Arabidopsis thaliana: one gene and its partner. The protein of the gene in region 2 interacts with the protein of the main gene of each other region in a pairwise test. Each region holds a gene or a part of one and is shown on either strand. Other genes may lie near its edges.

Region 1 (6,072 bases), about 11 Mb from region 2:
AATGGTGAACATTAAATCACATTTTTGTTTATTTTATAAAAAATCGTAATATTTATATTTATAATACTAAATAAGTAGACCGCCAATTTTGGTATTCTGCCAAATTAAAATTCTGAAATTCGTACAGATTTCCGATTTACTGTTGGAAATATCCGATATTTTTAAATGAACATATTTTCGTCGGACAATTTTATTACCAAGACCGAGTGAACATCTCCGCACAACCTAAAATCACTACAAAAAAAAAAAACAGTGCGGCTTTTCTACCGAATCTCGACAGACATCAATTTGGCAAAATTCTAATGATTTACCGACAAAAATATGTTCATTAAAAAAGAAAAACCTAGAAGTTACCTCATATAAAATTTGAAGAACCAACACTGTGGGGTTGGGCTAACTCATATATATACTTTCAAAATTTACATACCTTGTTCTTTTCACTGAAAGAGAAACCTAGTAACCTCATATAAACTTCTTTGGCTAACGTTTCATGAAGAAAAGTATTGTGCTACTATAAGAAATATTTGTCGTCATTTTCACCACATACATCTACCAACACTAAATTTCATTCAGATTATATAAAAAATAAAATTTTAAATAACAAAGAACTATAAAAAATAAAATTTTATATAACAAAGAACCGGAATAGAATACAAGTAACACTCACTCTGTTCATCACAAACAGAACAAAAGAAACGTGTGTACGAAGAAACTTCTAGCTTCAAACAAATTATACATAAGATTTGATTCATCTAGCTCCTGGATTAAGCTCTGTTGTGAAATTCATGGACAGCTCAATTGAAGAATCATTAGTTGAATCCGTCATACGGCTTCCCATGTTTCTTGCCATCTCCATGTTCAGACATTCTTTCAGATCCATTACGACTTGAGTCATTGTCGGTCTCCGTGAAGAAGACGGATTCAGGCAAGTCATTGCGGTCTCAACAACTTTCCATATCGTGTTTGGATCAAAGTCTCCTTGAAGCTTAGGATCTACAATGCTGTTAATGTCTCCTCTTGATAGCATCAAACCTACCCATTCAGCTATGTGTGATTTTTCTCTTTTCATGTCTATCACGGGTTGGTTTGTTACTAGCTCTAGTAGAACAACACCAAAGCTGAACACATCACTTTTCTCGGTCAACCAATTAGTTCTGTAGTATCTGGAAAATAAAAACAAGAGAAAAAGGAAAAGCCACAATGTTTAGAGTTAACACGAAAAAGAAAAATCAATAGTTGTTTTAAAGAAAAGTGTTTAAGGTTTACTCAGGATCAAGATATCCGGGAGTTCCAGCAACTATGGTTGAGACGTGAGTTTCAGTTCCAAGTGGAAAAGACCGTGAAAGCCCGAAATCCGCAAGCTTAGCTTGAAATTTCTCGTTTAATAAGATGTTAGTAGTCTTAATGTCGCGGTGAACTATTTGCGGTTTGCATCCATTGTGCAAATATTCCAATCCTTGCGCTGATTCCGCTGCTATACGAAGCCTTCCTTCCCAAGTTAGTATCGACGGTCCACGCTTCCCTGAAATCAAATTTTTGAAACAATATATATCAGAATCATAAAACTAAAAACCACAATGTTAAAACATTGATTTTGTATAAAAACCATACCTGATAAGTGCTCTTTCAAGTCACCATTCGCCATGAACTCATAGATTAGAGACATTTTATCTCCTTCTTCACAATATCCAACAAGACATGTGAGATCTTTGTGATGAACTCTAAGAAGCAACTCAACCTAAAAAGTAAACAAAACAAAAACAGATCCAAGACGCAATCAAAACACCATTTCTAATAATAGTTAAGAGAAACATTTGGTTCAATCTGTTATTACCTCGGCTTTAAACTGTTTGTAACCAAGTGCAGTGGACTCAGTGAGCATCTTTACCGCAACTGGTTCATTATTCAAGACGCCGTAATAAACCACACCAAAACCACCCCTACCAAGAACCCTCTCAAAGTTGTTTGTGATCTTAACAACATCAATGTAAGTCAATTTCCGGTTTTTCGCTATAACGGGAGGTTCAAAACCGTGGTGAGACCTCGAATGTAACGGTGTTGTACCAGTTCCTGAATTAGGATTCAAACCAAGCTTGGTTCTCTTCTTCCTCTTGAGGATAAGGAAAGTAACGATTCCAGCTCCAATGAGGAATACTGAAACAAGTGATGCTGCAACAGGTGCAATAACAGTGTTTTTCTTCTTCTTTTTCGTGGTAGCGCATGATGTAGATGAACAAAGCCCGGTATTTCCTTCGATACTAGAGTTTTCACATAGATTAAAATAAAATTTTGATTATTAGAAAACTCATAAGCATTTCATTCTTCTTTTGATATTTGTTTCCTCATAAGCACGGATTATTACCTTAACGTAATAGATCCTCGTCGTTCTTTATCAAGGAGAGTTGCAGGGATAGAGCCATTTAGCTCATTTCCAGATAGATTTCTATACAAAACAGAGTGAATATAGGTTAACGTTTGTTAACCTTTTGGTGTTAATAAAATGCGTTTGAGCTTACATGAGTTTTAAGGTTTCCATATTAGCTAGAAACTCTGGGACTGAACCAGTTAAAGAATTGTTAGACAAGTCACTGCAAGAAAATCAAATGTAACCCATCAAAACATACGACTTAAAGCAAAACTTTAATGCATTTTCTGAGCATGTTAACTACTTACAGAACTTCTAAACTGGTAAGGTCTGATATAAATTCTAAGATCTCTCCGGTCAAGCCACTTGTAGACAGATCCCTGTTTCCAAAAATCAAAAAACAATTAAAAACCTTTTGTGAAAATCATATGAAGAAGAACAAATCAAAACTCTGCTTTAAAAACAGAACAAACTCTATACTTACAAAGAAATGATCTTTGGGGTCTCATTGTCAACATAAGTGCAATTAACACCAGACCACTTGTAATCCAGCGGCACGCAAGGATCTCCTTCCCAGTCAATCTTGTTCACGCCGTAAGCCGACTTGATGTTCATCATTGCATCAACTGAAAACATATTTTCATTAGGTAAGTAAAAGTTTGGTTCTTAATCAACAATAAAGAAATAAGTTTTACCAACCTTCTTTTCTATCAGTTTCCTGTTGCGGCAACAAGTTAACCGAATAAATCTCCATAGCGTTGAGCAGAGGAGGTAAAGTCGAATTTCCTGTTCTTTGAAGCGAAAATATGTACTGCCCATTTGCATCGGCGACAACTTCGGTAGGTGTAAATACGGAAGACGTGGTGAAATTAAGTGGTCTAAAAGGTCCATAGATATGCTTGTTATTGTACATGATGTTGAACTCTCTTGTATCATTGGATTTGAGCTCTTGAATCTCTGCAAAATGCATAAAAACGTAGAACTGCACAGTACGTTCCACCCCGACTAGCGAAATGTTCATAGCTGCGTCCGGGTCTGTTGGAACAGAGGCTGTGACCATAGCAATCTCTGGTGGTTGATAGTCATTGTTTATATTCACTGACTGATTGGTACTAATCTGTGACCAGTTTCCGAAATTATACGGAGTCCAGACACGATCAAACACATCGATTCCGTACCTAAGACAAAGAAAAACAGAGTATATTTAGAAGCCTTTTCAGACTAACTTTTAACATTAGGGTTTTGAAACTTATAAACCTGTAGCCTTGGTTAACAGTCGCGCCAACGTCTGCTCTGATGAAGGTCTGCAAGGAACCTTGTCGAGTCAAGTAAGTTGTGTTCATGAGTTTACGAAGCTCTAAAGCGGAGATAAAAGGCGTTGCGTTTCCTGTCTTGACCAGACAGATTTGTAAACGATCAGTGGTCAAGATATGAATCATCTCAAAGATTGATGCTTCGGTCTCGTTCGTGGTTGTAACTGTAGACCAAAGATTAGGTCCGAGGTAGAGCTCGAATTGCGTTGAGGGTTTGTCGTCATAACCGCCGTGAAGGAAATTGGCTCTGATTAGATATTCGTCGCCTATGGTTAGGTTTAAGGTATAGCAGTTTCTTATGCCTTGTGGAAAACTCCGTAGGTTCCTTGTGGAAGAAGTAAAAGTGTTAGGTTTTAAGATAACATTCATTGATCTTGAGAAAGCTATTTATTATACCATGTTTGTTGCTGAAACTGAGTCCGGTATCCTTGTTTGATGCTTCCACCAACACCGGTATTGATGAAATTCGCATCGGAAATGTAAGTAATGTTTGTTGTTTTCTCACGAAAGCTAGTTTCTCTAGGCGAACCGCAATCCAAACTGATGAATCCTGAGAACAAAGCAAAGAAAAAGCTTTAGAAGAAACTTTTGAATCAATGAAGATGTTATATTTTTTTACCTGACTGATCTTGAGCAAGACAAAGAAGTAAAGCTGAGAAGATTTGCAGAAGAACTAAGAGAAAACAAGAAGAAAACGCCATTAATATTCGTCACTTTGGTTTTAATTGTTTCCTTGTTTTTGTGAGACTAGAAAGTGAAGAATCAAAAGAAGATATATGTGGTGTAATTAAAGAAATGAAAGATGGAATTGTTTTCTTTTTGTCTGAACCGCGTTAGTACTGGTTACTATTATGATGAGCTCAAAGTCAACCTTTTGGTAGAGGTGACCAATTGTGAATTTTTTTACGTTAAGAGGCGTTGACGTATAACAAAAATGCAGAATTTCTAAATTCGAGTTAGACAATGACATTACGGGGAAAATTTAGCTAATCTTAAAATTTCACCAATAATTTCGATTTTAAAATATTTAAACTATTGTTTTAACTAAATATTCATCTGGTTAAGTCATTGAAGAAGATTGTCTTTCTGCCAATAAGCTACACTTCATTGATCTGTAATAAATCTGACGAGGGTATGGAGCTTACTGAAAAATATATGTTGATTGTTCACCAGAAAAAAAGGCAAGAAAAACATTAGAAATATGTTTTGATTTAATGAAAGTTTATAAGTTATAACCATAATTCAGTTGAATTTTTTTACGAAAACTAAAACGAAACGAAACATTAAATTTTGAGAAGTCAGAAGGAAAGTGGTTGGTGACTTGGTGAGGAGCTAATAATACATGCACCAATAAAACAACTCTGATTATGGAGAGACGACCACGACTTCACTGAACCAAAAAAAAAAAAAAATGAGAGAAAAATATATGGTCAATATCAATTTGGCATCATTATTACAAGAATCATAGCCTAGTGGGGCGATATACATGCATCTTCTATATATTAATAGACATGTAACAATTGAAACAGTTTTTTAATTCGTAAATGTCTCATGTTAATTATTGATATTTAGTATAAAGCTGCTGTAAATTAATTTGTATTTATATTGAAAATATTACATAAATAGAAAATATTTCTTAATTTAAATAATTTCCTTTAGAGAACTCGAAAGTTATAATTTTGGTTGTAATTTATTTTCTTCTTTACTATATTATCATCATAAATATCCTAATCTAATCCTACTATATATAGTAGGATCAATCATTCGGATTTCAAACAATTCCACGATGTTCAGTTTTCTCAGCAAAACGTGATCTTTTACTGACGATTATTATATACATGTGTCATACCAACGATAAACAGTCTTATCTCTAGCATTTGTAACCACTCTCTAATGTAAAAACCTCTAAAACTTGAGTACCGATCAAAGAGGCTTCCACAATTGGTTGTTTATTATTGAAAATTAACTACAGTAAAAGATTCTCAAAATTCACCATTAAACGTATTATTGTCATGAGAATATTGTTGAAGAAAAAAAAAGTCATGAGAATATCAAAAATTCAAATATACGAACTTTAAAAATCGATTAATTTTTTATTTATTACGATATGTTTAACTACATATGTTATCTTCTTGTTAATTCTATAGTGAAATCTTTTTCAACATATACTAATGTATAAGTAATTAATTTAATTTATTTTTTTGGCAAAAAAGTAATTTTTATTTTGTTACGAACTGTTAAATCATGCGAAAAATCTATTTTCTAAAGAAGTTGGTATCTCTACATTTTCTGAGAAAATGATTTAAATCGATAAATTAATCAATTTTTAAAAATTTGTGGATTATTTTGTTCGAAAGAAAAAAAGATTTGGATCTTCTAAACCCTACTGATTCC
Region 2 (5,367 bases):
TACTTCCTTTCTTTATATATCTCATAACAATATGAAAGTTCATTGCATAATTGAAATTGTCCCTTAAACAGGATAACATTTTGCATATGATGAAAGTACTCACCAACAGAGAGTTGACAGGTTTATTTCGTGCAACTTCACTCCTTTTCCATCTCAATTTTCCCTTTTGATTACATTTTTCCTTGCCACTGGATTGAAATTTCCTTTATTTCTTTGATGTAGATGGACGTGCAGTTGAACAAGGAAGTATACAACAACCTACTGTGCCCCCAACTGAGAAATCCATGGTATGCAATTGTTTGCAAGAAAAAAATGTATTGAATCACATTCCTTCAGACTTTTGAGCTTAATGGAACTGTTCTTCTGTTGAATCATAGCTTGAAGCAGCACACGAAAGAGAGAAAGAACTGCTCCATGACATAACCGACCTGCAATGGAGGTAACTATCGAAACCATCTCCTTGTATAGTTTAGATTAAAATCCATCATTCTCACTTGTTTTTGTGTGTGTTCATAGGCTCATTTGTGCAGAAGAAGAGCTTCAGAAATACAAAACCGAACACGCCCAAGTAAGTATGAGTAACTAAACACAATCGTTCTTATATGCAATCTTTTCAATTCCACTATATGTCAAAGATCAGTAAAACTCATCACTTGCCTGTTAAAATTCCAGGTTTGATTTCCTAAGAAGCCTGAGAAGATATGTGCTTAAGTAAAGAAGTTTGATTTCATCATCAACAATAAGTATTTTTAATAAGATAATACATCTAATGAAGGTAAGATTTGCTTTCAGATGTTTTGTCATTTGATTCATAAAATACATCACTCCCTAGTCCCTACTATCATTCTGTGTTATCTTTTTTTTTTTTTTTTTTAGTTTTTTAGGTTTGTTTAAGGAATATGTATTATGTACCATGGTAGCTATTTATAACCATGGTTACATAAGGATTTGTGTAATATTGATGATACAAAAAGCGTTATTGAGAAACATTTTCGTGAGATGGTGATTAAAAACATAGCATCTTGATAAACTAATGGGGTGTATGTGTTTTTGGATGCGTGTGAATGAATGCATCTCTCTCTCTCAACAAGTCAGTGGGACAACTAAAACTTGTCGTCGTGTCGCATTGGCCAGCACACAATCCGTGAATTCTATTACAGTCATAATTGCTTCTCTTTTAATGCTGCTCATATGTGTACATCTTTATTTATATTTTGTGTTATAGATTAGATGCTTATACCATATATATGAAGATGTGATTAACATAGGTTGTTCAATCTGTATAAATTAAAACGATTTAATTCATACCAAAATTGAAAACCCCAATTGGTTAGTAATTATGTACTTCCCAAAAGGCCAAATCAAGTAAACAACACATTAGATATTATCAACATTTATTTGATTTTAAAATTTGTTAAAGGTTAACACAAGTGGATACTTCAATTATATCATTTTTTGGAAGAAAGACAAAACGGAGTTATTATATTTTTTTCCAAAACTTGGCTGGCTTCAGAAATCAGAATTTAGGTTTAATAAAGGCAGAAAAGGACTTGTGGCTGATCAATTGTGAATACTTAACTAACCATTAATTAACAATCAAATTCGAACCATTACACACAGACAGACGACAACTTTGACACGTGGCAAAACGTAATTGGGTTATTTTCGGGTGAAATGGATGATACGATGCAGCCAAGAACCAAATTTTCCCACAATTATTATTGTTCAGAAAAGAAAAGAAAAAACACTCAAATGAAAGATCTCACGTGCGGAACCAAACTATGACCTTTGTCTGACCATTGCGTTTCTCTCTCTCTCTCAATTGTTCTATGAACTTTTTTTGGTAATTCTCTCTATCCAGAAGTGGAGTTAGTAGTAAACGTTGGTCTTTGTTGTGGGTCTGAAAGTATTAGCGTCGCTGTTTCCAAGTAATCCTAAATCAGTTCACAAGAATCTGATTTGAACAGATTGTGATGTTCTGTTTTCTTTCTCTTTTTTCCTTTTAATTCTCGCAATATGCAAAAGTATGAGTCTTTTTACCCGAGAAAATAGCAGTTTTCCCGAGAAAATAAACCAGAGGTCCCTAAAGCTAAAGCTAAAACTAAAAGCTAAAGTAGTGTGGATTTTCTAGATGCCAAGTTTCGTTTTTTGAGCCTTTTAAGCTCTTTTCTGGATTTCGTTTTTCTCGTTTCGCTCTATTCTTCGCCGAGCAAGTAATCATTGCCGACAACCCCCAGAAAAATCGTAGATTTCTTCAATCGGCGATTTAAAAAATTTGAACTTTTTCTTTAAAAGCTTTGAGCTCTTTTTTCTTCGGATTATTTTCAAAATGGGTCTGTGTTATTCAGTAGATAGGACTACTGGGAAGGAACCTGGAGAAGCAAGCTCCACCGCCACTACGGCGGAGACTGTGGAGGAGAGATCAGGCTCCGGAAGATGGCGGCGGCCGAGAGATTTAAAGGGTGGCGGCGATATCGAAGGGATTCCACAGGTTTTGGGTCGTTTGGTTTCGAATGGTTCAAGTAAGATTGCATGTCTTTACACACAGCAAGGCAAGAAAGGGACTAACCAAGACGCCATGCTCGTCTTTGAGGTTCGTTTCTTTTATCTTTCCAAAAATTCATCTTTTTTGCAACCCATTTGGATTTTATCAATACTCAAGAGGACAATTTCAGGGTATTTTGGTGGAGAAATGTTGTTCAATGTATGAGGAAGCTACTTGATTTGTTTGGATGTGTTTTGTTACAGATCAAATGGATCTTCAGAACATGATTGCATTAATCTTTTGTTGCTAGTGCTTAGTAAGAGAGAGAGAAACTTGGAATGATTCATCACTTTTCTGGGACCATTACAAAGCTTAGTGCTTTGAAGATTGAGGTGGCTTTGTTTTGCCATTTGTGTTGTTCTTGTGCTGTCTTGAGTCTTTGACCTGTTTCTACAGGGACCACTAGTTACTTGACACTTAGATTCTATTTCTGCTTACTTCCTTTTGTGTTACATTCACATATCAAGACAAGTTTCTAACTTATGAAAACTACTTCACTTTCCAGAACTTTTGTTCGAGAGACGATACAGTGTTTTGTGGTGTATTCGATGGACATGGACCATTTGGTCATATGGTTGCCAAGAAAGTCCGAGATACATTGCCCTTCACACTCTTAACCCAGTTGAAAATGACCTCAGAGTCAGATCAAAGCAGCTTAGTTGGTGCCAATGGTTTTCAGATCAAATGTACAGAGGAAGAAGAAGTGCAGACAACTGAGTCTGAACAAGTGCAGAAAACTGAGTCTGTTACTACTATGGATGAGCAATGGTGTGAGTTAAATCCAAATGTGAACAACGATGAACTTCCGGAGATGTATCTGCCTCTTAAACATGCGATGCTCAAGTCTTGTCAGCAGATAGATAAAGAGCTGAAAATGCATCCAACTATTGATTGCTTCTGCAGCGGAACAACTTCAGTCACTTTGATCAAGCAGGTTCTCAGCTTAGATCTGCTTGTAACCAAAAGACCATCATCGATTGTATATTAATTGCTGTAATTGTTCATAATGATTTCTTTTAGGGTGAGGATTTGGTGGTTGGAAATATTGGTGACTCGAGAGCCGTTCTTGCCACAAGAGACGAAGACAATGCTTTGCTCGCTGTACAATTAACTATAGACTTAAAACCGGATTTGCCAGGTACTTTATTACAAACCATGATATTAAACTCTGAGAGAAGCCAGAGGCAAAAGTTTCTCAACTTTCGCTTTCTATGTGTACTGTCAGGTGAATCAGCGAGAATCCAGAAATGTAAAGGAAGAGTCTTTGCATTGCAAGACGAGCCTGAGGTAGCTCGTGTATGGTTACCAAACAGTGATTCACCTGGTTTAGCAATGGCTCGAGCTTTTGGAGACTTTTGTCTCAAAGATTACGGATTAATCTCTGTTCCAGATATCAACTATCGCCGCCTAACGGAACGAGACCAATTCATTATTCTTGCTAGCGACGGGGTAAATTAAATCTTCAGTTACTAGCCACTAAATTGCAAACATTTTCCAAATCTTTAGAGCTGAAAAATGTTGTGTTTTCTGAATTGTATTAAAGGTATGGGATGTGTTGTCGAACAAAGAAGCTGTTGATATCGTTGCCTCAGCTCCTAGTAGAAGCACAGCGGCTCGAGCTCTAGTGGACACAGCGGTACGATCATGGAGAATCAAGTACCCAACTTCCAAGAACGATGACTGTACAGTAGTCTGTCTCTTTCTACAAGATTCATCAGTAGCCATGGAAGTCTCAACCAATGTAAAGAAGGATTCACCCAAAGAAGAGTCTATAGAGAGTGTCACTAACAGCACAAGCAAGGAGGAGGATGAGATTGTCCCCGTTAAAGACGAGAAAATCCCTGAGAGTTGCGGGATTGAGTCGAAAATGATGACAATGACACTTGCGGAATGTATCTCGGTTGCACAAGATGATGAAGAGTGGTCTGCTTTGGAAGGATTGACGAGGGTTAACAGTCTCTTGAGCATTCCAAGGTTTTTATCTGGTGAGCTCAGATCAACTAGTTGGAGAAAATGGTTGTGACTTTTTTTTGACTTAAGTGATTCTAAGTTAATGCCGACAAAAACACTTCATATCACGATGTTCCAACTTTTTTTCTTCTTCTCTTGGAAGTGATTTGCAGATATATAATCTTTCTTGTTTAAATTAGTCTTTCAGACATGTGAGAGATTGGTCATGTTAGCTGTAGATAAAGATCATAGTGAATTGGATCTTTTCTTGGATACTCTCTGTCTTTATATTTAATTAACTCTTATTACTACATGTTAGACACTTGGAAATTGAAGGAAGTGGCTTTTACGTTTTAATTATTTATTTTTGTTTTTGGAGATGGTTGGGTTTTTGGGAACTTTTTTTTTTATGGGTTCCACTATATTCTCTGTCTATTCTCAGCATAATGATCAAAGAAGGTTGCTTTGATTACAAAACAGAGCTTAACGGTAACCTAAGTTTACATCATTAATTTTGTAGTGGCTATTTGAAAGAAATTATTTTCTCCTTATTTGGAGATGTAACACTCAAGTGCTTTAATAACTAAAGTGCTTTGAAAAAAAGACACATGAACCGTTAAATTGACTTCGAAGAGAAGGAAAATTGATTGAAACCAACTTTTCTTGGTGTCACTCGTGTTCCTATTGGCACAATTCTCAGTACACATTTTTTTTGATGAGACAATTATGAATCTTGTCTCATAAGGAAGCTACTTTAATCTGTTTCTTCTTTCTCTATGATTTCACTTAAATATCAAACTTCAAGAACTCATGTCTCTTGAGGAACAATATGGTGGGTTCCAACACCGTAACCGCTACATCGCGGTTGCTCT

The links.
Region 1: the proteins of AT1G79630 (region 2) and IOS1 interact in a protein complementation assay, tested with the Arabidopsis thaliana proteins (one large-scale study listed by BioGRID).

What each region holds. Positions count from the first base shown.
Region 1 is NC_003070.9:19,212,510-19,218,581, reverse strand, and holds IOS1 (Leucine-rich repeat protein kinase family protein), read right to left. Parts: upstream 4,511-6,072; 5' UTR 4,380-4,510; coding exon 4,298-4,379; intron 4,229-4,297; coding exon 4,075-4,228; intron 4,004-4,074; coding exon 3,623-4,003; intron 3,544-3,622; coding exon 3,065-3,543; intron 2,992-3,064; coding exon 2,850-2,991; intron 2,746-2,849; coding exon 2,674-2,745; intron 2,589-2,673; coding exon 2,517-2,588; intron 2,444-2,516; coding exon 2,363-2,443; intron 2,259-2,362; coding exon 1,835-2,258; intron 1,739-1,834; coding exon 1,612-1,738; intron 1,523-1,611; coding exon 1,267-1,522; intron 1,164-1,266; coding exon 749-1,163; 3' UTR 529-748; downstream 1-528.
Region 2 is NC_003070.9:29,962,132-29,967,498, reverse strand, and holds AT1G79630 (Protein phosphatase 2C family protein), read left to right. Parts: upstream 1-1,723; 5' UTR 1,724-1,829; coding exon of another isoform or gene 1,830-1,843; 5' UTR 1,844-2,329; coding exon 2,330-2,593; exon of another isoform or gene 2,594-2,823; coding exon of another isoform or gene 2,824-2,877; exon of another isoform or gene 2,878-3,050; coding exon 3,051-3,479; intron 3,480-3,565; coding exon 3,566-3,683; intron 3,684-3,770; coding exon 3,771-3,994; intron 3,995-4,088; coding exon 4,089-4,568; 3' UTR 4,569-4,850; downstream 4,851-5,367. Other genes in the region: AT1G79640 (Protein kinase superfamily protein), read left to right, coding at 72-120, 223-287, 378-439, 517-586; AT1G79620 (Leucine-rich repeat protein kinase family protein), read left to right, coding at 5,325-5,367.